Xenopus tropicalis: one gene and its partners. The protein of the gene in region 2 purifies or fractionates together with the protein of the main gene of each other region. This does not show direct contact. Links are inferred from orthologs where the notes say so. Each region holds a gene or a part of one and is shown on either strand. Other genes may lie near its edges. The genes, in order: cul4a, dcaf1, cep78, dyrk2, cul4b and cops7b.

The links.
Region 1: the proteins of dcaf1 (region 2) and cul4a purify together in Homo sapiens (affinity purification with western blotting; 15 studies listed by BioGRID and IntAct, with this or other methods). This does not show direct contact. The link is inferred for Xenopus tropicalis from reciprocal best matches to the Homo sapiens genes DCAF1 and CUL4A.
Region 3: the proteins of dcaf1 (region 2) and cep78 purify together in Homo sapiens (affinity purification with western blotting; 3 studies listed by BioGRID, with this or other methods). This does not show direct contact. The link is inferred for Xenopus tropicalis from reciprocal best matches to the Homo sapiens genes DCAF1 and CEP78.
Region 4: the proteins of dcaf1 (region 2) and dyrk2 purify together in Homo sapiens (affinity purification with western blotting; 5 studies listed by BioGRID and IntAct, with this or other methods). This does not show direct contact. The link is inferred for Xenopus tropicalis from reciprocal best matches to the Homo sapiens genes DCAF1 and DYRK2.
Region 5: the proteins of dcaf1 (region 2) and cul4b purify together in Homo sapiens (affinity purification with mass spectrometry; 9 studies listed by BioGRID and IntAct, with this or other methods). This does not show direct contact. The link is inferred for Xenopus tropicalis from reciprocal best matches to the Homo sapiens genes DCAF1 and CUL4B.
Region 6: the proteins of dcaf1 (region 2) and cops7b purify together in Homo sapiens (affinity purification with mass spectrometry; 3 studies listed by BioGRID, with this or other methods). This does not show direct contact. The link is inferred for Xenopus tropicalis from reciprocal best matches to the Homo sapiens genes DCAF1 and COPS7B.

Annotation. Positions count from the first base shown.
Region 1 is NC_030678.2:116,032,484-116,036,665, reverse strand, and holds the start of cul4a (cullin-4A), read left to right. Parts: upstream 1-1,382; 5' UTR 1,383-1,401; intron 1,402-1,436; exon of another isoform or gene 1,437-1,532; intron 1,533-1,559; exon of another isoform or gene 1,560-1,667; intron 1,668-4,182. UniProt on the Homo sapiens protein: Core component of multiple cullin-RING-based E3 ubiquitin-protein ligase complexes which mediate the ubiquitination of target proteins. As a scaffold protein may contribute to catalysis through positioning of the substrate and the ubiquitin-conjugating enzyme.
Region 2 is NC_030680.2:127,315,037-127,318,536, forward strand, and holds part of dcaf1 (DDB1- and CUL4-associated factor 1), read left to right. Parts: coding exon 1-1,171; intron 1,172-1,281; coding exon 1,282-1,480; intron 1,481-2,188; coding exon 2,189-2,271; intron 2,272-2,377; coding exon 2,378-2,462; intron 2,463-3,500. UniProt on the Homo sapiens protein: Acts both as a substrate recognition component of E3 ubiquitin-protein ligase complexes and as an atypical serine/threonine-protein kinase, playing key roles in various processes such as cell cycle, telomerase regulation and histone modification.
Region 3 is NC_030677.2:132,575,132-132,578,631, reverse strand, and holds part of cep78 (centrosomal protein of 78 kDa), read right to left. Parts: intron 2,296-3,500; coding exon 2,129-2,295; intron 933-2,128; coding exon 755-932; intron 194-754; coding exon 1-193. UniProt on the Homo sapiens protein: Centriole wall protein that localizes to mature centrioles and regulates centriole and cilia biogenesis. Involved in centrosome duplication: required for efficient PLK4 centrosomal localization and PLK4-induced overduplication of centrioles.
Region 4 is NC_030679.2:58,472,271-58,476,485, reverse strand, and holds the start of dyrk2 (dual specificity tyrosine-phosphorylation-regulated kinase 2), read right to left. Parts: upstream 2,801-4,215; 5' UTR 2,776-2,800; coding exon 2,625-2,775; intron 2,605-2,624; exon of another isoform or gene 2,489-2,604; coding exon of another isoform or gene 2,362-2,488; intron 1,916-2,361; coding exon 1,791-1,915; intron 1-1,790. UniProt on the Homo sapiens protein: Serine/threonine-protein kinase involved in the regulation of the mitotic cell cycle, cell proliferation, apoptosis, organization of the cytoskeleton and neurite outgrowth. Functions in part via its role in ubiquitin-dependent proteasomal protein degradation.
Region 5 is NC_030684.2:46,091,676-46,095,908, forward strand, and holds the start of cul4b (cullin-4B), read right to left. Parts: upstream 2,801-4,233; 5' UTR 2,609-2,800; coding exon 2,197-2,608; intron 1-2,196.
Region 6 is NC_030681.2:101,190,800-101,194,814, reverse strand, and holds the start of cops7b (COP9 signalosome complex subunit 7b), read right to left. Parts: upstream 2,801-4,015; 5' UTR 2,543-2,800; exon of another isoform or gene 2,511-2,542; intron 951-2,510; 5' UTR 928-950; coding exon 766-927; intron 1-765. UniProt on the Homo sapiens protein: Component of the COP9 signalosome complex (CSN), a complex involved in various cellular and developmental processes.

The DNA of each region.
Region 1 (4,182 bases), on a different chromosome or scaffold from region 2:
ACATTTACACTGTTTCCAGTTAATACAGACACACTGTAGTTTGACAAAAGGGTGTTCAATCAGAATATTACAACTACAATGAGTTAAAAGTGACAGCATCAAACACTGAGAAAAAATTCTATACTACTGTTTAAAAAGGGTAGTTTGCCTTAGAAACCGTTTTTCCATTAATTTGTTTTCACGCACATCGTCAACAATTAGATTGTTTAACTTTTTGTAAGATTTAAAGGGGTGGTTAACCTTTAAGGTAACTTTTAGTATGTTATTGAATGGCCAATTCTAAGCAACCTTTCAATTTGTCTTCAATATTTATAGGTTTTTTTTTAATTATTTGCGGTTTTCTTCTAACCTTTTGTAGCTTTCAGAAAACTATTGCCCTGTGAGATTACAATTTTGTTATTATTACTGAATAGGTCCTCTCCTATTCATATACCAGCCTCTCATTCAAACCACTCCCTGGTTGCTAAGGTAATTTGGACTCTAGAAACCAGATAGCTGCTAAAACCAAACTCAATTCAAAACTGAACCACCCCTTTAATTTTAAATGTAAATCTTTTTATATAGTATTTTACTGTAGTGCCTCAAAATCAAGATGCAGGCTCTCTACAGTGTTACAATTTGCTACATTTGTTGCTTCATTTCTAAGAAGACTAAGAAGAATAAGATGGAATGTATCAACTGTTAAAAAGGTTGCATAAATACTATATGCATTGCCATGAGCAAAATGTGTCGGCAATGAATTTTAATGTAATGAATGCCAGCACTCTAGGATTAGGGAGAGAATTGGGGAAGAGTCCAGACTAAGACCATAGTAGTAACTTTTTTTTGTGAAATTGGAATTTTCTGTAGAGTGGTAGTCCTAATACAAACTCAAAAGTTTAAACCAGAAGTGAGTGTAAAGAATAGAAAGGAGTAGCAAATACATATTTCGATAACAATTATTTAAAAAAACTTTTTTTTCAATTTAAATGTATTGGAAAGTTGTGTAGGATTACATTTTCTCACATTACACAAAATGACAGTTTTGGACTGGTCATCCCCTTTGCAGAACTTCATCCTTACTGTGAAGACTACTGTCCTAAAGCCTAAAGCATTAAACACTGACCAAGAAACACGTGAGTTTCCATTCAAGCGCGCAATACAACCTGCCCAGAGATGGTGTCATGTACTTACCCTGAAAATAAAAGCAAAACATTCATATCTTAACAACAAATTAAGTAAGAAAATTGCATTTCGCTTTCCTACACAATTGTGCTCCTGCAAAGACAAAATTACTCTCGCTTAACTCCCCCGGAAACCGGCTATTGTGCCCCCTGACCCGGAAGTGACTGTACATATTATCAGCGGCTAATGCCGGTGATAGTTCCAGCCGCTATATGGAACGCCATTTTAATTACACAGGTAACCTCATAAATGTATGTTAACATTTCACTCACTCTGTGGCATATCTCTCAATTTCCATTCTGACAGCAGCTTTCTCAGGTTGTTTCATAGTGGGCGGGTCCTTGATGTAAACCGCAGCTAGACACGCCCCTTCGTGACATCATGTTCTCTTTTCCACTTCTTGGTCACGTGGCTGTGACATCACATTTGCACTCAATATGTTTTTTTTAAGACTTCGGGATCACCTTTAAACTGCTCCTTTTCCGGAAGTCGAGCGTTTGTTTGTAAGTCATTGCTGCAAAGAAAATCAGCGGCAGCTAAAGAGTCCTGGGGGATATGTTGTGTAACATTACTAGCTGCTATTTTGATTGTAATTGTGGGTGATTGGGCCGGCCTTGCCCCCCTCCCTGCTACATCTATGGGCCCCAGGCGGCTGCCCCAGCCGTCTCTATGTGTTTATTTGTGTTTAACAACTCTGTAAGCGCTAGCATTCGTAGTTGCAGGACCTTGGTGCCTTTAATGGCCGCTGACCTCTGAAATTTAACAGTTTCTGAAAAGCCTCACATTGTTGATCACTTGTGCAGCAGTACTTGGCTTTGGCGTTGAGGGCTAGGTGATCACCTAAAGAAGGAAGTCATGGGATCTGTCCAACCTGAGGCACCTCTGCTCGTTTTAATGGGGATATCCTCATATAAATTGTTTTTTTCCCTAATAATGCCATGTAAAATATACTTTCCAGTTTACATTAACATTTCAAGTTGTTTTAAATGTATGTGCTATTTAATGCAATATCTGTGTGTCTCTTTCTGTTGGCTGATATTGACTCCTGAGCCAGTGTAGCAGGTCAGTTTTCTAAGTCTATTAAAAGACATGTCAACCCAAAATAAATGTTGCCTAATAAAATAAAACATAATTCTAAGCAACCTTGTAATATGCATTCATAACAAATTTGTAATGGTTTTTAAGTTATTTGTAGATATTATTGCTATTGTCCTTTTCTATTCACTGCCCAGGTGGCTGTGGCTTTTGAAACAATATAACATAATCCAGCAGATAGACAGACCTGTCTTGCTGAAGGAGACTGGCTTTTCAGCATTGTTTTTAAAAGGCATAGCCACCAGTTAAGCAAATTCTGCCTTCAGTTGTACTTACAAATAACTTTTAAAGCACCAAAAACATTTTAATAAATTCATATTGGTTGCTTAGAACTATGTTTTTTTTTATTAGCTTTAATCCGCTGGTTTCTGCTAGATAGTTTCAGCAGAAGTGCCATGGTTGATGGGCACAGAGTAGTGACAGGCAGACCAGTGCACCAAAACAGTTAAGAGCAGAAGCGCCTATATCTGCTATGTGTATGTTAAACAGGGTGCTTGAGATTAAGAGCAGTGACAGGTGGAGATGGGTATTTTGACTGTGACTGTTCTCCTTCAGAGAGTAACAGTGGCGAAAATGCCCTATGTCCTATTACTTTCTCCTGAGTCTTCTGGCAGGCTGCAAGGTCTGTCACCGTTTTATGTACATTCAGAATGGAGCCATACACGTAGCAATTCTAAACTTTCCTGCGACCATCGGTCGTTTCGTTGATCCACCATACATGCATCGAATGAGGTTTCGTACAATATCATCTGTGTGTGTATGGCCAGCTTTACATTCAGTTCTGCCAGGAGGGGATGGACCATTGGACTGCAGCTATTCTGAGGGCACCAATGATCAAACACCTCTGTGCCATTAGTCTTAAAGGACATGGAAAGGCAAAGTCACTTAGGGGTGCCAAAATGTTAGGCACCTCCAAGTGACTTTAATCGCCTACCTTTTACCCCGGTCTGGTGCCCCTGTTGGGAGAGAATAGCACCAGCCCGGGGTAGCTGCATCGCTTCCTCCTTCCTGATCGCTTGCGCGCACATGCACAGAAGAGTGAAAAAGCTGAACTTTAACAAAGAAGTCGACTTTTCACTCTACCGCGCATGCGCCTACCGCATAGTCGCAGCTAAAAGTAGCAGGAAGGAGGAAGCGCATCACTCCACGTACCCCGGGCTGATGCTGTTTTCTCCTAACAGGGGCACCAGCCCGGGGTACAAGGTAAGCGATTAAAGTCACTTGGGGGTGTCTAACATTTTGGCACCCCCAAGTGACTTTGTCTTTCCTTGTCCTTTAATGTTGAACAGCAGCAGGGGAGCAGCACATAGCACATCCTTTAACTGTGATGGTGGTCTTTAATATCTCCTGTAATTATAGATACTTCTCAAGGGACAGTGGATATAGTTAATAACAAGCATCAGGTCTTTGAACCAATAAACACACTTTAGGGGCAGATTTATCAAAATGTGAAATTAGAAGTTTACCACAGAAAAATTCACCCACTTTCCATTCATTACTTTTGGGATTTTTAGAAGCGTATTTATCAAATAATGTACTTTTCCCATTGATAAATACACTTATTAGTGTTGTTGAAAAAACCTGCAGAGTGCTGTGAACTAAGCATTACTGGCACTCAGGCATTGAAATCATTTTTAAGGCTGTGCTCCTCTTTTTCCATTACATAGAGATTAGATGTAGATTTGGAGCTTTTTGTAGGCTTCCTTATAGTAATGTAGTTATTACCTTTTGTTTTTGTACAGCTGTGAAAAGGGACACATTAAGTGGAGTGGATGGGAGGACAGGCATATTGGAGCAGTAAAGTGTGTTGGCATGAAGATCAGCATCTTTATTATAGTTCTGTGACACATGGGGAGATTAGTCGCCGTGCGACATATCTTCCTTGTCGTGGGTGACTAATCTAAAAAAATGTAAATTGTAACT
Region 2 (3,500 bases):
ACTGTGTTTGTGCTCCTGAAACGCGAGTCTCCAGCATTGGCAAGTATGTCTCTGGGACACCTCGAAGAAGGGGACTTGTTTGTCCGACCTTCCATCATCACGGACGTGGAGAGCCTACACTTTCCAAGATGTGGAATGTTGTCCAATCTAATAATGGTATCAAAGTTCTTTTGTCTTTGCTGTCTGTTAAAATGCCCATCACGGATGCCGATCAGATCAGGGCTTTGGCTTGCAAGGCACTAGTTGGCCTAAGCAGGAGCACTTCAGTTCGACAAATTATTTCAAAGCTGCCCCTGTTCAGCAGCAGCCAGATCCAGCAGCTGATGAAAGAGCCAATCCTCCAGGACAAGCGTAGTGAGCATGTGCGGTTCTGCAAGTATGCAGCCGAGTTGATTGAGCGAGTGTCTGGGAAGCCACTGCTAATGGGAAGTGATGTGTCTCTTGCACGCCTGCAAAAGGCAGATGTAGTAGCACAATCTCGTATTACATTCCCTGAAAAAGAACTCTTGCTACTAATACGGAATCACCTGGTATCCAAGGGATTGCAGGAAACTGTGGCCACATTGACGCGAGAGGCTGATCTACCTATGACTGCTGCTTTGCATTCTTCTACCTACCTGCCTGCCACTGCTACCCAACCACCCACTACTTCTTCACCTGTTTCTCTGCCACGCACACCACGGATCCCTGCTAGACTTTCAAGTACAGCACTGTGCCCTCACCCTCCTTCTTCAAGACCTCAGTTACCACCACCTTTATCATCTCCTGCCCCAGTATCCACAGGCTCACCACTCATTGGGCGTATCAGCTTTGCTCGAGAACGGCAGTCACCTTGTAATGGAAAGAGGGGGCGTGTTCTGCGGCAGAAATCAGATCATGGAGCCTATAGCCAAAGCCCTGCCTTCAGAAAGCAAATGGAAAGACATGTGCCGTCTCCTCCCACTCTGGACAGCATTATGACTGAGTATCTGCGAGAACAGCATGCACGCTGCAAGAATCCAGTTGCTATATGCCCCCCTTTCTCCCTCTTTACTCCACATCAGTGCCCAGAGCCTAAACAACGCAGGCAAGCCCCTACAAACTGCACTTCCAGATTAACCCGACGTGCTGCCTTTCCCAAATATGGAGGTGTAGATGGGGGCTGTTTTGACCGACATCTAATATTCAGCAGGTAATGTAGGGGACCACATAATTATGTTTGGAATTTCTTGTTTTGAGAAGACTCAAGGGAAACCTGGAACAAATGCTTTTAGAGTCTAATGTTATCTTCCTTGTTGGCAGGTTCCGTCCAATATCTGTGTTTCGTGAAACCAATGAAGATGAGAGTGGTTTCACCTGTTGTGCATTCTCTGCACGTGAGCGCTTTCTGATGTTGGGAACGTGCACAGGGCAGTTGAAACTATACAACGTGTTTAGTGGGCAGGAAGAAGCTAGTTACAATTGCCATATCTCTGCAATAACACACTTGGAGCCATCTCGGGTAAGCATCATTCAGTTAATAACCTCCCTGCCTTTGCCTGGCCTGCATCTCACTTTTTCAGTCTCTCCTTTTATAGGGGAACTAAAACCTAAAAATGAATATGGATAAAAATGCCATATTTTATATACTGAATATATTGCACAGCCTAAAGTTTCAGCATCTCTATAGAAGCATGACCAGACTTTAAAACTTGTCACAGGAGCTCCCTAACTCGGAAGTGTCTTTGACACTCACATGCTCCGTATGCTCTTAGCAGCTGTTGAGAAGCTAAGCTTAGGATTTGTCGCAAATTATCAGGCAGAAAATGAGGTTCAGCTGTCATATAAGCTGATGATACAGGGCTGATTATTAAATTGTGATGCTAATTGCACTGGTTTCAGAGCTGCCATGTAGTAATTATATGTATTCTTTTCTAAATCAGCCTTATATTATGACATTTATTTTCTATATATACAGTATATTGTGCATCAGCCCCTAAGCTCAGTAACTAACAGCAGCACAGAGCATGTATAGTGAATCAGCAAAGAAGATGGGGAGCTACTGGGGGCATCTTTGGGGGCACAGATCTTCCCTGCTAAAGGGCTGTGGGTGCCACGCGCTGGTGCAGAAGCCAGAAACATAATGTACAATATTTCTGCCCTACTTCTTTAATTAGGCTTTAGTTCTCCTTTAAACTCCCAGTCAACCTTTCCTGTCCTTCTCTCACAGGATGGGTCTCTTCTTCTAACTGCAGCCACATGGAGCCAACCTCTCTCAGCACTTTGGAGCATGAAATCTGTATTTGAAATGAAGTGAGTTTGCTAGGTTAACAAATAGTCCTTAGAAAAAGTGCTCCTGTTTAAAAACACAACCATCTTTAGGGGCAGTTTTTAATCTCAACTACATTTTCATTTCTAGGCATTCATTTACTGAGGATCATTATGTTGAATTCAGCAAACTTTCACAGGATCGTGTCATTGGCACAAAAGAAGATGTGGCTCATGTGAGTATTTACCTTTTTGGCTGTGGAATTAGCTCTCAACCAATCTTTGTTGTACTGGTATTGGACCTCCTATCCAGAATATTTAGGACCTGGGTTTTTTTTAAATAAGTTTCTGTAATGTAGATCTCCTTACCTTGTCTACTGAAAAATAAATTTAGCTTTAAATAAACACAAAAGAATTATTTTGCCTCCAATAGGGATTCATTATATCTTAGTTGTGAACTTGTGATCAAGTACAAATACTGTTTTATTACTACAGTGAAAAAGGAAATTATTTTTAAAAATGTAAATTGTTTAATTAAACTGCAGTCTATGGGAGATGGCCTACTTGTAATTCAGAATACAGAATAACGTGTATATACCATATATAATACAACATATATTCTATGGCAGATTTTGAACCTTTCAAACGTAAAAATCTAGGAGAAGCCAAACATTCAGAAGAAGACTGTATATTATTGCATTGTTAGGAGCCGACCGGCTCACAGCAAATGTTATAGTAGAGTTCAATGTAGAAGAGAAGAAAAGCTCATTTGACTGCTTGGGTTATTATCATATTACATGGTGGGCTCATGTAGATGGCCAGCTTATATCAACCCCTAAGTTTGAATTACAACGTTATCTAATGCCCTGGACTATTTCACTATTGTAGAACCATAAAATAAGCAACTAAGGCCTCCAAGGCTGTTGTGAGCTAAAAACCTCCCAGGAGCTTTAGTTGCCAGTCTGCTCTGATTTATGGATAGTATATGAAATTATTTAGTACATTAAAGGGGTTTTTCACCTTTGTACAACATTCACAAATCTAATAGTTAACAGAACTATCTTTGTCATATACATAGTTAACAGAAATGTGCAGCTGAAGAGAGATTCGTCTCAGAATCACACATAGTACTGGCAGCATGCTTAACTCCTATTGGCTGTGTCTCCTGTCAGTCTGGCACTACTTCCTGTGCAGAGTGATACAAATCTAATTTAACAGTATTTTAGATTTGTGAAATGTTGTCTGTTTGAATATGCAATTTCAAGGGAGAAATT
Region 3 (3,500 bases), on a different chromosome or scaffold from region 2:
TCTCCAGAGCAGGAAGCCTCCCACTGTTCACGTTTGCCTCTCTGGCCTTTAGATCAGGATCAAAACCTTCTTTGCTCTTCTGGCTGGTGGTACAATATTTATCTGCCTCTCGGGAAGAAGGGAGTGTATCAGCAGTCAAAGCATTGGATTCTGATGGGCCTGTATGCTCACCTTTCTTATCTCTGCTTTGTGCCTAGAAAAAATATCAAGAATTAACATAAAATGACAACATGAAACTGAAGCTTTCCCAGCTCCTGGACAAAATCAAGCAAAATGAAATCAGCTTAGCAAAATACAGCTAATTTCTGTCAGTCACTGTAAATCGCTTTAAAAAGTTTTAAACAAAGCCCTTTTTTTGAAAAGGGGGAATAAAGGAACATATAAATTGCTCCATCACTAGCCCCCAATCATTAACTGACTACCCTTCATCCTTTCATTAAAATCTGGGGGTCTTTGTCAGTAAAGTAAGGGTGGTCACTGCAGAAGTTTCTCCTTTGATGGAAGATTTTTTAATGGCTACGATGAAAAAGCCATGTATTTCGGCAGGTATTCTGCATGAATGATTGTTGTGGGCGTCTCTGCCATTTTTATAGAATCTAGATGCATGTTCTAAAAAAGCCAGTCAGTTTCAACAACACACGCCATTCACCTACAGTGCAAGTTTAGATAACGCCTAACTGTGCAAGTGCCTAAATGCACCACAGAAGAATCCCTTGTGAGGACAACCTGTATTAAAAAAAAAGTGCCTGCTTACCTGATGGATAAAGAATGTTTCTTGCTGATCTTGATGTGGCATTGGTGCCTGCTGGGCTATTTTATCAATAGTAGAAGACATCTGAGGATCCCCTGGCAGAGCAAAGTCTGACTGGTCAATGCCTGCAAGGTTAGCAAGCTGCCCCAGGCTGCAGAAGCGATCAGGAATTATTATGGTTCTTTTGCAAAAATTAAATAATAACAAGATAACAAATATCACTATATATTTTTCTATAGGAATGTTTCTGTAGCATATACAAATTGCTTGTTACACACTTTTAAAAGTTCCAAATAAAAACTGAGGATCAAAAATAATTGCTAGGTGTAGTAGACATACTGAAAGCCATATTACCTACATATGGGACCCTAATGTATCAATACAAATACAACTACCAGGTGCAAAAATGTGCACTATAAAGATCACAACAATTGTAAATAAAGAATCCAGAATAAGTTTCAGAATGCAGAGGCACAATGGACCCCTAAACTTTAAATAAGTTATGAACAAGGCATAAAATACAGGAGTCATTTAAGGGGCCCATTCATTAAAGTACAAATTTGGGATACGTTTTTGTTGCGGAAATTCACGCAAACCGTGAAAAATGCGCAGAATTTAACGAAAATATTGTGAACATAACGCAAAGTTCTAAAAATTAGAAAAAACATTAATTCATACTCAATCGTACTTTAATGAATGGGCCCCATAGGGGCTGATTTATCAAAGTCCGAATGGGTACGATTAAAAAAAAAATTGTATTTTTTCTGAAGTTTAGAACTGTTCGTACAGTTAACAATAATATCGTTAAAAAAGTACGACTTTTTCGTGATGGGAAGCTTCCAAAATCATGCATTGAAGTCAGAACGGGTTTCCCGCCGTTTCCGATCGCTCGGATATGAAATTTTCGTAACTTTCGGATCGTACCACGGTATTTTGGTATGACCACGGTACAAATTTTCACGCAATTAATGCACATTAGAAGTTATCGTATTTACTCCAAATTCTTTCTAATCGTACTTTTAAACATCTGAAATTCGGACTTTGATAAATCTTCCCCATAGTGTCTGCAAAATGTTGATCCTGTACAATTGCACACTGTATACATGCCTACATCCCACACAGAACATACCTGTACAAAATGTACTAACACAACCTACTATAGTGAGCAAAGTACAGTATTTTAAATATATAAATACATAATATATATATTTAATAGTTTTAAAGCAAACCTACACCTTTTGTTAATGTTAGACTTCAGTTTAGGTGCAGTTTAAAAGAGCCGGACATGTGCGAGTGTGGAATGCTTATACTAGGTTACAGAACATGCCTGGCGGCAGCAATTGTTTTCCTTCCAATTTCCAATCACATGCAACTTACCCTGCATCTTTTAGAAGATCCAGAAACGCATGGAACTTGCTGAAGGACTTTTCAATGCTGTCAAGGACACCTTCATCCTCCAAGATCACAGAGGTAGCTGTCCTCGAGTGAAGAGACTCAGAAAGAGTATGATTTATTTGCCTTAGTCGAGTGTTTTCAAACTCCAGCTAAAACAAAGATCATAAATATCTTGGAATAGACTAAGAAGGACTGAATAAATATCTTATCAGAAGAATAAAATGTAAAAGAATTATTGCAACCATAAAGTACTGACTTCCATAACAAAATTATAGTTTATATTGCCATTACCAATACTCATGGGGGAAGCAAACAAAAACTGATAAATTAAACACCTACATCTCTAGATTATGGGAATACTAGGGATAGTTTTCTAACACTGGGCAAATCTGCACATGTGCAGTATCTCATAGAAAAGTTAGTAATTGAGACAGCAGTTGAGACAGCAGCAAGGACAGTACCACCAGCCCAGGGAAAAAAACTACCACTCACTATGCCACCATCTTGTTTGACCCCCTAGGGCCAAAAGTTGGATTAGCTCAATATCGGCCACTTAGGAGTATATAATGTATGGCAAGCTTTAGACTTGAGCATACACAGAAGACTTAGTTACAAAGTGCCATTGTGATTGGATTAGTGGAAGAGTATATATGCTGAGGACTTCCCATACCAGTCAGTTGAACTGACGAAGCTGCTCGGATGAGTAGTGAAACGTCTTCAATGATTACTTAACAAGTCCAGTTGCTTTAAATTTATTTATACTAGATACAGAAGACTTAGATTTTCTAATTTTTTTCTACTGCACAAGTGTGAGTCTAAGGGGCCCATTTACTTACTCACGAACCGGCCGAATGCGTCCGATTGCGTTTTTTTCGTAATGATCGGTATTTGGCGATTTTTTCGGAAAATTATCGCAACTTTTTCGTTGCCATTCCGAATGTTGCGCAAAATCTGGCGATTTTTTCGTAGCGTTAAAACTTGTGCGAAAAGTCGCGCCTTTTTCGTAGCCATTCCGAAAGTTGCGCAAAATGTTGCGATTTTTTCTTAGCGTTCGGATTCATTCAAGCTTCAGTATGGTGACTTTTCTTGGGCCAGGTTGGAGCTGCAGGGTGCCATTGAGTCCTATGGGAGGCTTCCAAAATCATGCTAAGTCTGAAAGTTTCGCCCGCCACTTACGAGCACTCAATACGAAAAAGTCGCGACAAGATACGAGCGAATCGTAATGGCTACGAAAAACTCGCGTTTTTTCGCGAAAATCGTATTGGTAACGAAAAAGTCGCGACAATTTCCGAAAAGTCGTAAAGGCGCCGAAAAAATCGCAAAAAATACGAAAAAGGTCGCAAAATGTTCGTTT
Region 4 (4,215 bases), on a different chromosome or scaffold from region 2:
AATGTAGTGAAATGTAATGAAATATAGGTTATAACCAACACTTGCAGTTAACTTGGGATGCTCAGTGCATTCAGCAGTAAGCAATACCCTTGCATGCATTACTATTTAGAGAAAACTAAACGGATATATTCCTCAAATTATACAGTTTCTAAATTTAACCAGTACGGTGATTTTCAATGGATTTCCTACGTGTTTTTACAATATTTGAGTAAATGTCCTACATTCCCCCAGAGACTGCAACACCCCACACTGACACAATTCTAGATCCTTGCATCAATACCATACATATTTAAAGATGAGAATTAACAGAAAAATGATCTGTAATGTTTCTACATAGCTGTGTACAAATTGTTGGTTGAATTCAAAAGAGCTGGCCTAAATCTGCTTGTTTGGCAAGGCTGCCACGGAACTGTAATCTAAGCCTCATTTACTGGTTATCACCACTGTTTTCAAGTAGCTGACATACTCAAAATATCCTGCACTATGCATGGTTTATTATACTTTGTTGTAGCTCCAGAGGCAGGGGGAACACTCCAAAGATGCCCTTCAATAGCAATGAATTAGTTTAAAGCATCCGGTGCAGTGTTATGCGATTATTGCTCCAAAATGTCAAGTGGTAATTACATGCACAAAACTGCCCCAGCTAAATTCAATTTAAAGCTAACGGAGGGACAATTTGTAGCATTATCCCCTGCCCACAAAGCTACAAAAAGTTAATGTTTTCAGATTGCTCTGTGTCAGTAACCTAAGGGGGAAAACAAATTGGAGTACCATACATGCAATACATGCCATAAACCAAAAAACTCTGTAACTCCTATACATGCACAAAATGTAGCTGCAAAAGCCTGTTCCTCTAAATGCCGTTCTAAAATATATTTCAAAGCAGAGCAGCTGTCAGGGAGCAACTGCTCCACTAATATGGCAGCTGCTCTACTCATATTGAAATGATCTGTTTCTATGAATACCGATTGCAAAGGAGTAAAAACTTGACAGAACCTCTGTCCTTTTAAAAGGACAGGCATTACAAAAACACTGTTAAATGAAAACTGTAAGCTCCATAACATTTGATGTCATTAATATTATATATACATCTGCGTTATGATAGTAAAATGAGATGACAAATGAAACAGTCACTCCATGCCCTGAGTATAATCTGATATTCTGCATCTAATACATTTAACTAAATTATACATTTCTTAAAATAAAAAAAGCATCACTTGAGCAGTTCTGGAAAGCTATGAAACCAATTGCATATACAGGAGAGTGCTACCTGCATATAAGTATTAAATATAATTCAGAAAGATGTTTAATAACCAGAAACAAACACACTACTAAAACCCCCATGATTTGAAATCATATGCTTATTATTATATAATTGTGCTTTCAATTTCCCATAAGCATGGGTGTGGCTTAATCTAATAAAAATCAAAACATTGCACATTTTAAAACGGAGCTTTCTTCCATTCTCCAAGAAAATATCAGAAAAGTAGAGTGAGAAATAAATAAATAAATGTCCACATACAATGTACTGGGAATCAGCCCTGCTGTTTTCTTGAGCTCTGCTCCACAGAGATGAGATAGAGACTAACAGTGTCTGGCTGTCAGCCTGACTGTACCTTGCACATTTATTTCTATTAATACCAATCATCTGGCTGGAATTGGAAACATGGAGGAGGGGAAGGTATGAAATCACAGGATTAAGAGGCAAAATGTTCATTTCTGTTGCCATTGGTAAGTAGGTAAAGGATAAGCTATGCCCTGCTAGTATTTCCCATAGCAGCTGTTCTTACCGTATGCGTTGGATTGCCGGTTCTGAGGGGCGGCAATGACACGGGGGATGGGGGGCCAGTTCCGGCTGCAGATCGCGGTAATCCCGGGGAGGGCTGCAGCTGACCGGTGCCTCTACCTCCTCTGCCTGAAGCACAAAACAAACACCATAGCTCAGGGCAAGGAATGTCCCCCAATAACTACATGCAGCCAGTCTCAGCCCTTGTTACTGCTTACCGGCCATTAGTTTAGCTATGTCAGCCATACGCCATGTGTAGCACTCGGGCCGCTAATACAGTAAAGGCTGCTGTTGTTAATAGGGATAAACCTATGATCTCAGATTAGCCGGCCATTAAACGCAAGTGGAAAATGAAAGAAACAGGAATTCCAAGTCGGACGGCATTTTTGCTGAGAGTCTGGCTGGCACTGCTGTCAGTCTCCCACGGATTTATTGCCTTTCCGTGCAGGGGACTGAATGCTCAGGCTGCTCCCACTGTACGGAGCTACACAATGCCCCCGGCATGATTGCTAGGGCAGAGGGGTTCCTGGCACAACAATACAGAGAGGAAGACACTGGGGATGCCATTAACTCACCTCGCATGTGACTGGGGGTTACAGTAATAGGAACGCTGGCAGCCTGGGGTAAATAAAGGGGAGCTTCCCCCCGGGGGTGCATGGTAACGCTAGATTGCGGGGACTGACAGAGAACCAGGGTTACCATAGCGCAGCAAACGCCCTCCCCCTACTCTGCTTAAACGAACATCCACCGTTGCCTGTAGCAAATACTGGGCAGGGCCGCCATTTGGTAAGGGGGGAGGGGGCAACAGACTCCCCGGGCCCGGCTGTGCTTCACTTACTTGGATTACCGGGCCCCTTGCTGTCAGCGAGCTGCATACTACGGAGTGGAGGGCGGCAGCTAGGGTGCCTGCATGTTCCTTCCCGGTAGCGTCTAGGTCCCTCTGCCTCAGAAAGGACCTTGATGACATCACGATCACGTGACAGTACCATGTGACCGCCCTGCGGAGGGTTCGCTGTAGTGCAGCGGTAGATTCAAGTGGGGGAAATGTACCAACTGATTCTGGGCTACTGCTTTCTCTGCGATATGGCGGCCTGCAAACTTCATGTTATCTGCAACTTTATGCCCCCTCGTTTGAGTTTAGCCAACTGGTAATGTAAGATGGGATCAGTGTGCTTGGGGGTAAATTCACTGTTCCTGTTATTACACAATTCCCAATTTTCCTGTTTCATATACTAATGCCCTCTGAAAGATATGTAAGGTGTGATTTATCAGCAATCAGTGTGTTATAGCTGGTGTTTCAGAGACAACATTTTCATGGGAAAAAAAACCCCAACTATCTGCCTATAATCCCCTCTAAGCACCTTTCCTCCAGATAGAACAACCTCAACCTTTATTATTAACATTTATTTATAAAGCACCAACATATTAAGCAGTGCTGTACAATAACAGTCTAACCTCATACTTTAACACTTCGACTGCCATACACATATCTAGTACGTTCTTTGGCAGTTGAAACTTTTCTTCTGCATTGGCGGCTTTTAGCCATTGGTGCGGCATAACATGTGTCATAGATTTGTGTATTGTTTGATCCCACCTCATGCTTTTATGCATTCATTCTAACACTTTTGTTAGAGAAAAAGAAAAAAAACTCCTTCACCTCAGCTCTCAATATTTCTTTTAAACTCATTTATGTTTTCTGCTCAGATTTCCAACTTTGCCAGGGAACTAAAGATATACTTTTTCCTTCTTGCCAACAGTACCTGCTTATCAGAGCCTTTTGTCCAATTTGTTCAAAAAAAGAAAGATTTTTTGCACAAGTTAGGGACAGGTGAAATTGTCAACTTTTTTTTAATATACTTTGAGGGTATTTTTGTACTAACAAGGGGCAAAATAAGATTTAGGAGACAACAATGGGTGAAATTGACGAAAAGTATTCTTACTCTTTGTTTCCTCTGGTCCTCACTGATGCAGGTTCCCTGTCAGTTCTGCAGCAGAAAGTTTCTGGGCCCAAAAGGGTGTTGGTGAAGACTGGTCCTGAAAGTGGTTTTCTCCATTTCGCAAAGACGTTAGACCACACCAGCTGTCACCCACTGTTACCCATAAACACAATTTGAGTTGTTTTGAATTTAATTCCGGCATTTTATGTGAAGATTATATTTTTGTTACAATTTAAGGACAACTATTAGGTACCAAGTTTTTATGTTCTTCTTTTTTTTTTTTTTTTTTTACATTGGTGTCCTAGACATTTTCTTTAACTCCTAGCAGTACCCTCCACCATCTCTTCTCCCAATTTGACCAAAAAGCAAAGTGTTTTTGTGTCCCAACCATCTCTTCTAGTACCTACAAACCAATGACTGCTAGGCAAGAATCATAAGATTCCAAACTCTAGCTCTAGTATGCTAAATAGAGTTCCTTGACTTATCTAGGGT
Region 5 (4,233 bases), on a different chromosome or scaffold from region 2:
CCAGAAAAAAAAACGCAAGTATCCCTTGGTGCTGCAGAGGTTTGCCACTGCAAATACATAGACATACATAATACTCCTTTGTAAACAGTAAACAGTGTATTGTTGCTCTTTGTATCACCGTTTACCAATAAATGTGGCAATGCTCCTTTATACTGTATGAGCAGACAAGTTCTTTTGCCGAGAATTCCTTCATTTCTACTTCAAGCCTGTATATGAAACAGTACTACAATTTAGGTGTGCATTGTGTCTGTTTGATATAGGATTAGTTGTACTATTAGTATATCAGAAAAAATCACAAGCACTTAATACCAGTTGTACAAAAAAATGAAGAGGCTGGTAAGGTCTTTTGCCAAAACAGAGTAATTTTTTTTTTTTACATACAATTACTACTTTTTAAAGGCAAACTAACAGCACAATTTCCTGAGTTTCTACCTTATTTTAGCTGCATCAGCTAAACCTTTATATATAAATTTATTATGGGCATACCCAGGGCTGTATATTGGTCATGTGCCATCCTAGGCACCAGCCTAGTTTACCCCCCCCCCACTTAGCAACTGGTGCACATGCATTGCAGTTTGCATAATGCTCATGCACCAATAACTGATAGAAATTTCTTAGAAATTATTAAATTCCCCCACTTTGCACTAAGGCCTCTGGCACACGGGGAGATTAGTCGCCCGCGACAAATCTCCCTGTTCGCGGGCGACTAATCTCCCCGAAAATGTAAATCGCCAGTGGGATGGCATATGCGGCAGGGCAATTTCAGTGAAATCGCGGAAATTGCCTTGAGGAAACATCCGTGATTTCACTGAAATCGCGCCATCCCGATTTACATTTTCGCCGGTGGGATGGCATTTCGGGGAAATTAGTCGCCCGCGAACAGGGAGATTTGTCGCGGGCAACTAATCTCCCCATGTGCCAGAGCCCTAAAGAGATCAGGGCCAGAAGCCACATTGATACCACTAAACAATCTGTTTGCAAATGTCAACAAACACACTTCTGTGTGGGCCCAAAATGAACCAGCCTGACCTGATTCTGATTAGCCATGTTAGTAAATGGTGAATAGCCTCACAAATCTGTGTAAAGTGTTGCAGTTATCACCTTAACAGTTATTTAGCAGATTGTCTAAGGGCTCTGGCACATGGGGAAATTAGTCGCCCACAACAAAACTCCCTGTTCGCGGTCGACTAATCTCCCCAGATTGCCATCCCACCTGCGAAAATGTAAATCGCTGGCGGCGTGATTTCAGTGAAATTGCGCAAGTTGCCTCGAGAGGAAACCTGCGCGATTTCATTGAAATCGCGCCACCCCGTATGCCCGAGACACAGGTGGGATGGCATTTCAGGGAGATTAGTCGCGGGCGACTAATCTCCCCGTGTGCCAGAGCCCTAAGGGCAAGGATGCTTTCTGTTGATCTGAAACCATCCTACAAAAGCTCCCGTGTAGTTTAGTCCTGAATGTTGCTTCACTAACACCAGCATGATTTGTGTGTTGTGTGTAGACAAATGCCTAAAATAAACAGTGTTCACTTTCAAATTATTCTGGAAGTGGACATTGAAGAAAGATTTTCAGTGTTTTGGCACTGGTCCCATGAGATACTAAAAAAAAAAAAAAAAATGGCTTTGGCCAATGAGTCCCACAGGAATATTGACACTGCAGCTTAGATCGGTTGTGACAAAGATTTTTTTTTTAATAGAAAAGATTGCCTTTGCATTGAAGATATCCCTTAACTGTAGCGCTCTTAGTATTGACACACAGATCTGGTTGGGTCAAACAGGAATGCTTGTAACAAGCATCAAATCCCCTAAGTGCTCCAAAATATTGCGGATCCCTATAGAAAGAATCAAGCATTACCAGCTTAAAACACTTTGGCTTTATGCTGGTTAGGAGTGCATCAATACACAAGCCCTTAGAAGTCAAAACTGCCATTCCAGATAGATTCAACCATAATAAAATAACGCCAAAAGGAAACTGTAATTTTACCATCATGAAAAAACCAAACAGGCAAACGTTTGCCCCAAACTACTGGGTGACACAAGACAGCATGCTAGTTTCTGAATTCCAAATTAAAGGAGATTTTATTTTGACCAGAGCACCCTTGTAATCACCTGGTCCTTAAGCACATTCTGGTCAAAGTATTACACTCCCTGAAGTGACCTATCAAAGAGCTGATTGAATGGTGCCATCCCTCTTTACCTTTAAAGTTCTTGATGACTAACTTCTTGGCTGAGCCAGGCTTGCTGTTGGCAAAACTGGACACGGGTGAGGCTTTTGTGAGGCCATTGGCATGATGCCCAACGCCCACTGGGGAGATGAGCAGGTTTTTACTCCTCACTGCCTGGGGAGTAGAGGAGGATGAGCAGGAAGAAGAAGGAGACTCCTCGGCCATCTTCACATCGAGTCCTAGAAAGTCCAAAGTGTCTTCAAAACGCAGCTTCTTTTGGATGTGGTTAGAGGAGGAAGAGGAGTTTCTGGGGGGCGACAGGGGGTCCAAATCGTCCTTATCGCTGCTGCTGATATTCAACCTTCTCTTTTTGGAGGTGCTGTTTCCCTCAGTCCTTACCTCCTGCGCCGGGGGGTTGGGGGTTGATAAGCCTGTGGGAAACATGAAAACACCACAAATAGAAAAGATTCAAGGCAGCCCAGACTGTGTGTGACCGCTGGATCGTGTGGGGACCGCAACAAACAGCTAACGTGGCCCTTTGGTTAGCGCTTCCCAGTGGCCCCCTCGGCAGGCACTCTGCTTTAGTTCTGCTCGGTGAAGGCCCCGGCCCCGCTCTCCGGATATCCCCACTCTTTTTCTTGTTTATTGTCACAAGAGCAGGGAACCAAAGATGGCCTCACTTCCTCTCGCAGTGCATGTTGGGAAGAGTTCCCCAGGAGGCTGCCGTGAGCCCACACCCCTTCCCAGCCGGGACAGTCAGGGAGCCTTTGACGCCAGCTGCTGCCAAACTATCAAAACCAAAGGGGTAGCGCTTACTGCATTAACTATAGCGCGAAAGGCTGGCTGTGTTCCCTCTCTCCCCTCCCCTTTTTATTCTACTGTGATGTCATGGCAACCTTCGTACCTTGTTTTGACTGACCGGAAGGACTAGCGATGAGGTCTTTCATAATGCCCGACCGTGCGGGCCTCATCCGTCCCCTTTCTCCTCGCCGAGCTTCCGCCTTAGGTTGGTGCCGGCGAGGAGTCCCGACAAGGGGAAGGAAGGGGCTGAGGCTGGAAACTACTCGAGGGGGAGGAGTCGAGGGTTGAATATTCCCGCCTCTGTAGTGACGCCTAAAGGGAATAAGGACCAATAATCAGCTTGGTTTGGGTGACATTTCCCCCTGATGCCTCCACATGGTACCGCCTGTTCAGCAGCGTGGGGGCCGGAGAGGCTTAGAATAGTTACATAAAGGAGAGCGCCAGTAGTTGCGTGTGACGCTTCCCGCTTAAAATGAGTTCCTTGTGGAAGCTCCTCAGTAACTACTCAGTACTACTACTCAGTAAGCGTCAAACATGAAGTTTGTGTCTGAAAGCAATGTATAATGGCGTGTATAGCAGGGATGAAAAGTACATATATTAACCCCACTATTCATTTAAGTGCCAGATTAAAATAAACTTATATCATACAAAGTGGTCAATTTGGGTGATATAATAATCTCTGGGAGAGTAAGGCTTCCCATTGGATTACGCAGCTGTATACCAGATTCTGACTGAAAGCAATGGCTGAATGTGTTTTTTTTTTATAAAGCAGCTATTCTGGGTTCTCTATGTGCTTGTGAGCCTGCATACAAGTTATAACACCAGCAAAAACAACACATGTTAAGCACACCAAAAGGTGTATGCTCATACTTAGTTTCAGCACTTGACCCTATTCAATTGTTTTTTTTTTTTAACAGATATGCAAGCACTGGTCACTGCATAAAGCACTTATGAATCATCTGGTAAAGCTTAATAGAGATGTTACATATAACTAAATAACTAATTTGGGTTGACAAAAGCCCAAAGCCTATCAAGTTCAACATCTCTAAAAACCCCAGTGCACAAAAATACACATACCTATATAGACCAATCTATACACTTACAAATATAAACTATATATACCCAAATAATGTTGAAGCTAGGTGTTTGTAGAACTCACGGGCGTTGCTGCCATGAGGCGAGTTGAGAAACTCACATTAGGCTGTATTGCCTGGCAAGTTACTGGAGGCGGCAAAAAGCCCCTTCAGGTAACTTAAAGAGCCTTGTGT
Region 6 (4,015 bases), on a different chromosome or scaffold from region 2:
CTAACTAACTATATTAGAAATATTATTTATTTTGCACAGCCTAATACCAACTGAATTACCATTCAGTGACTTGAGGGGGGGGCCATATGGGACATAAATTTTCAGTCCGTTTGCATTTGAATCTGACCTGCGTGCTCACAAACTACCTGAACAGTTATGTCCCACGTGACCCCCCCTAAAGTCACCGACTAACTATGAGGTTAGAGAGCTGAAAGCAGGTAGAAGTGGACTTCTTGCTAATATGTTAGGCATCTACCCACTCCAGCCTTTATAGATTACATTTTTGCCAACTAACTATATTAGAAATATTTTTAATTTTGCGCAGTCTATCTATATTACGCAGTTTCATTTTTACACTGAACTGTTCCTTTAAGGGGATGCTGCAGACTTACTATTAATCTTTGAACAACCAGAGTGTCTGGTGTTAAAAGATGATTATATTTTCCCTCAAATATATTTGTTCACTGATACTGAATTTAGTGAATTGTCAACTAAGCAATATGGCAGCAGTGTTTCCTCACTAGTAGCAGTGTCCTATACAGATGCCAAAATAAGAAGCAATGATCAGTTGCAATAAAAAAAACATTCAAAAGGGTTCATAATGACCACTGTAAAAGCAGCATTATTACTATTCCTTTAACATTTTATGATTTTAGAAGATTTTCTGCACAGCTATACAGTTTTTATTGGACAAGTATTGTGCCTAAAGTTTCAGCAGGTTAAAAAAACATTATTAGAGAAAGAAACAGTAGCCTTCATCCTTACCTCTTGCACGTTAAGTAAATCTAAAAGTTCCCCAAATACATAGACTCCAGGAGCCTCTAATACTTGGTTTATAAGAGCTGGAAGGGCTGAACCTTTTGTGCCTTTGGCTAATAAAATAAACTGCTCCAGAATGTTACTGGATGGCTTTTGTTCTCCTGCCATGCTATAGTTGTTCTCCTACAACTCTATAAATAAGAAGCAAAAAAAGTTACATGGCATGAACAATAAATGTCAGCTAATTCAAAGGAAAATTATGCACTTTCAGGGTTACATTTAACTTGTTTACATAAAAAATATACTTTCGGAGTGGGGCGGCAAACATTCTGTACATTCAACATTTATTCTTAGTGTATTCGCATTTACAGATATAATCTGGCGATGCCACTACTGCTACAATTAAGTTGTCTATAAAGATGTCTATGTCTGTCAAGATTTACCTCTGCTGTGGTAAACATTTATTTATGCAAGTATGAACCGCTGCAGTGTTCAGTGGAGAATATTCTAATCAAATACATAACTACTAAAGAAAAAAGTTTAAAATAATAATTAGATGAAATATAATTCCATCGAGGCACACAGTGGTGTAAAACAAAGACAGCAGCCCAGAAGCTGCTTGAAAAGTATGTCTGATGTGCAATATATAGGAAAATTGTACCACATATGGTTAAGTTATTAAGGTTATTAAAATTCACAATGAAATTCCATGATCATAAAAAAGGCACCAAGCTCTTTGAAGAAGAACACACTTGGGCTCTCTCAGACAAACAATTTTTATGTTATGCAATCAATTATGAAGCCCAAAACAGGGAAAATGGCTCTTGATTGTGGCCTATTATTTATTAAATAGCATTATTAAAAGACAACTAATCCTCTATTTTATTTTAATGATTACTATTAAACTACAACCTTCAATCACCCATATAACATTACAATTCTATGTGTAGTTGGTGTCAATAGTGTCCAGATAAAGAAACAAAACAAAAACTGTAGTACCGTGTTAGCCAGTGTCAAAAATAATAAGAAAACACAAATACAAGGAGTATTGTAGAAATTATACCTATATTGGCTAACAATAAAAATACACTGCAAGCTTTCGGAGCTCTAAAGCCCCTTCGTCAGGCACAATACAAATGAAAACTGGAATCTTTTTCATTTCAGTTTTCATTTGTATTTATCCTGACGAAGGGGCCTTAGAGCTCCGAAAGCTTACAATGTATTTTTATTGTTAGCCAATATAGGTATCATTTCTACAATACTCTAGTATTTGTGCGTTTTTATTACAGATAAAGGAAGCACCAGTAAGTATATCGTCATTTTTGGGCATATAGTGCCACAACTGTCAAATATATGACAGCTTCAATGTCAAGGGAATTGTAACTGGGTTATATGAATCCTTTTTTGGCAATGGTTACAAAAGGACAAAGCACATTTGCTAAAGCACAAAAATGTCAAGTTTGACAAACTTTTGGCATAACAAAGATTTGCCACAATATTTGCAATTTACTAAACCCATAGTACAACAAATGTTGTTGCATATTAACTTCACATTGACAAATGTGCATCTTTTACACAGGTGTAATTACACTACTGGTAAATGTAATAAACAAGCCAGTTTATCAAGCGTCAGTACGTCTTTTTGGTAAAAAGTAGTCTTATCTGGTGCAAGCTGGCTATCTGGCTGGGTAATCTAGCAGCATAAATAGCTAAAAGTAGTAGTTTCACACCCATATCCACATCACACCCACCACATAGAGTAATAATCCTGAACAGAATTTGCAGTTTTACTTGCACCTGGAGGCGAGCAGCGTGGATTCTGCCTCTGACAGACGCCCTGATTAGCTTTCCGTAACACAGAGGTCCCAGGGCCACGGCACTGGGAAGAACTCTATAATACTGCGCTGCTTTTCGGAATCGTATAGTAATTACTCGTTATTTCGGCATGGATTTAACAACTACCCCCTTGTCAAGAGGCTCTGGATAGGAAGATTTACTAAGCTACATCAGTTCCTCCTATTTGCCCTATGACGTTTAGTACAATTCAACAAAAATGCTAGCACCGGCCAATCACAGTCGGAATCCCTGCTGAGCGATATCGCCACGCACCAATTAGGAGAGAGAACGTCGCACGCAGGGCGGGACAAATCGATTTCAAGTGTGGTTGAGTGCTCGCGCGTCATTAAGTAGAGAAACCTCACGTCGCATAGAAACGGAGAAAAGTTGTACGGGACACGAAAAGGGTCAAAATACATACACTGACTATTGGTTTCAGGCGGTAAAAGTGTAATTGATTGATATTAACATAGTTGGGAAGATATTGGGTTGTATTTTAGGTTAAATCTACTAAAGTAGGAACATATCTTATTCAACCTTAGTATGTGTCAATATGTCAGGTGTATGTAGCTGGTGATGCTGCATAATCAGTAAAAATTGTAATTGTAACTTACCTGCTGCAAGAAATAAGCCTGGCAACTAAAGGAGAAGGAAAGACAGTTTGGCATTTTACTGTGAATGGATTAGCCACAATAGTGCAAGCTAGGACTCTATTAGATTCTATTAGGGCAGGAGAGATTTAGCAGTTGCACACTTCCAACTCATTATTATTAACAGCCCATATCAGGAAGCATGCAAATGATAAATTTCTTTATAATCCCACTGACTATATTAAACTAAAGGATCGTGACTTTGCCAAAAAATCCTGCATAACATCATTGGTTATCCATAGTAGGAGTTAAGAAATGTGCAAGGGGTTAACCTCTCAATTATCCCACTAGATTCATTGTATTGGAACTTGTGCTTGCGGTCACCTTAAAAAACAATTCTCTCCAAATTCATTACCTTTTTAATTTTTGCTTTTTTAATATATGTGAATTGAAGTGAGGTACTAGTTTTTACTGTGATTATATGTTATTGTGAATATTGGTAGGCTGGCCAGCCAAATTTTTAAGGTGTTTTTAATGTGATAGATATATTCAATACTATTAAATTGTGATTTTTATTTTTGCCTTGTCTGTTGAAGGAGGTAGAGGTGGGTGGGGCCCCCATCTTTTAGTATTGAGTTTTAGGGTGTTACTCTATTGGAACAATTGTAAAGACCTTTTAAGGGCTGTCTCAGACAGGGAGACTAGTCGCCCGCGACAAATCTCCCTTGTTGCGGGTGACTAGTCGCCCCGAAATACCATCTCACCAGCGAGTATGTAAATCGCCGGTGGGATGGCATACGCGATTTCCCTTTGAGAGGAAACTTCGGCGC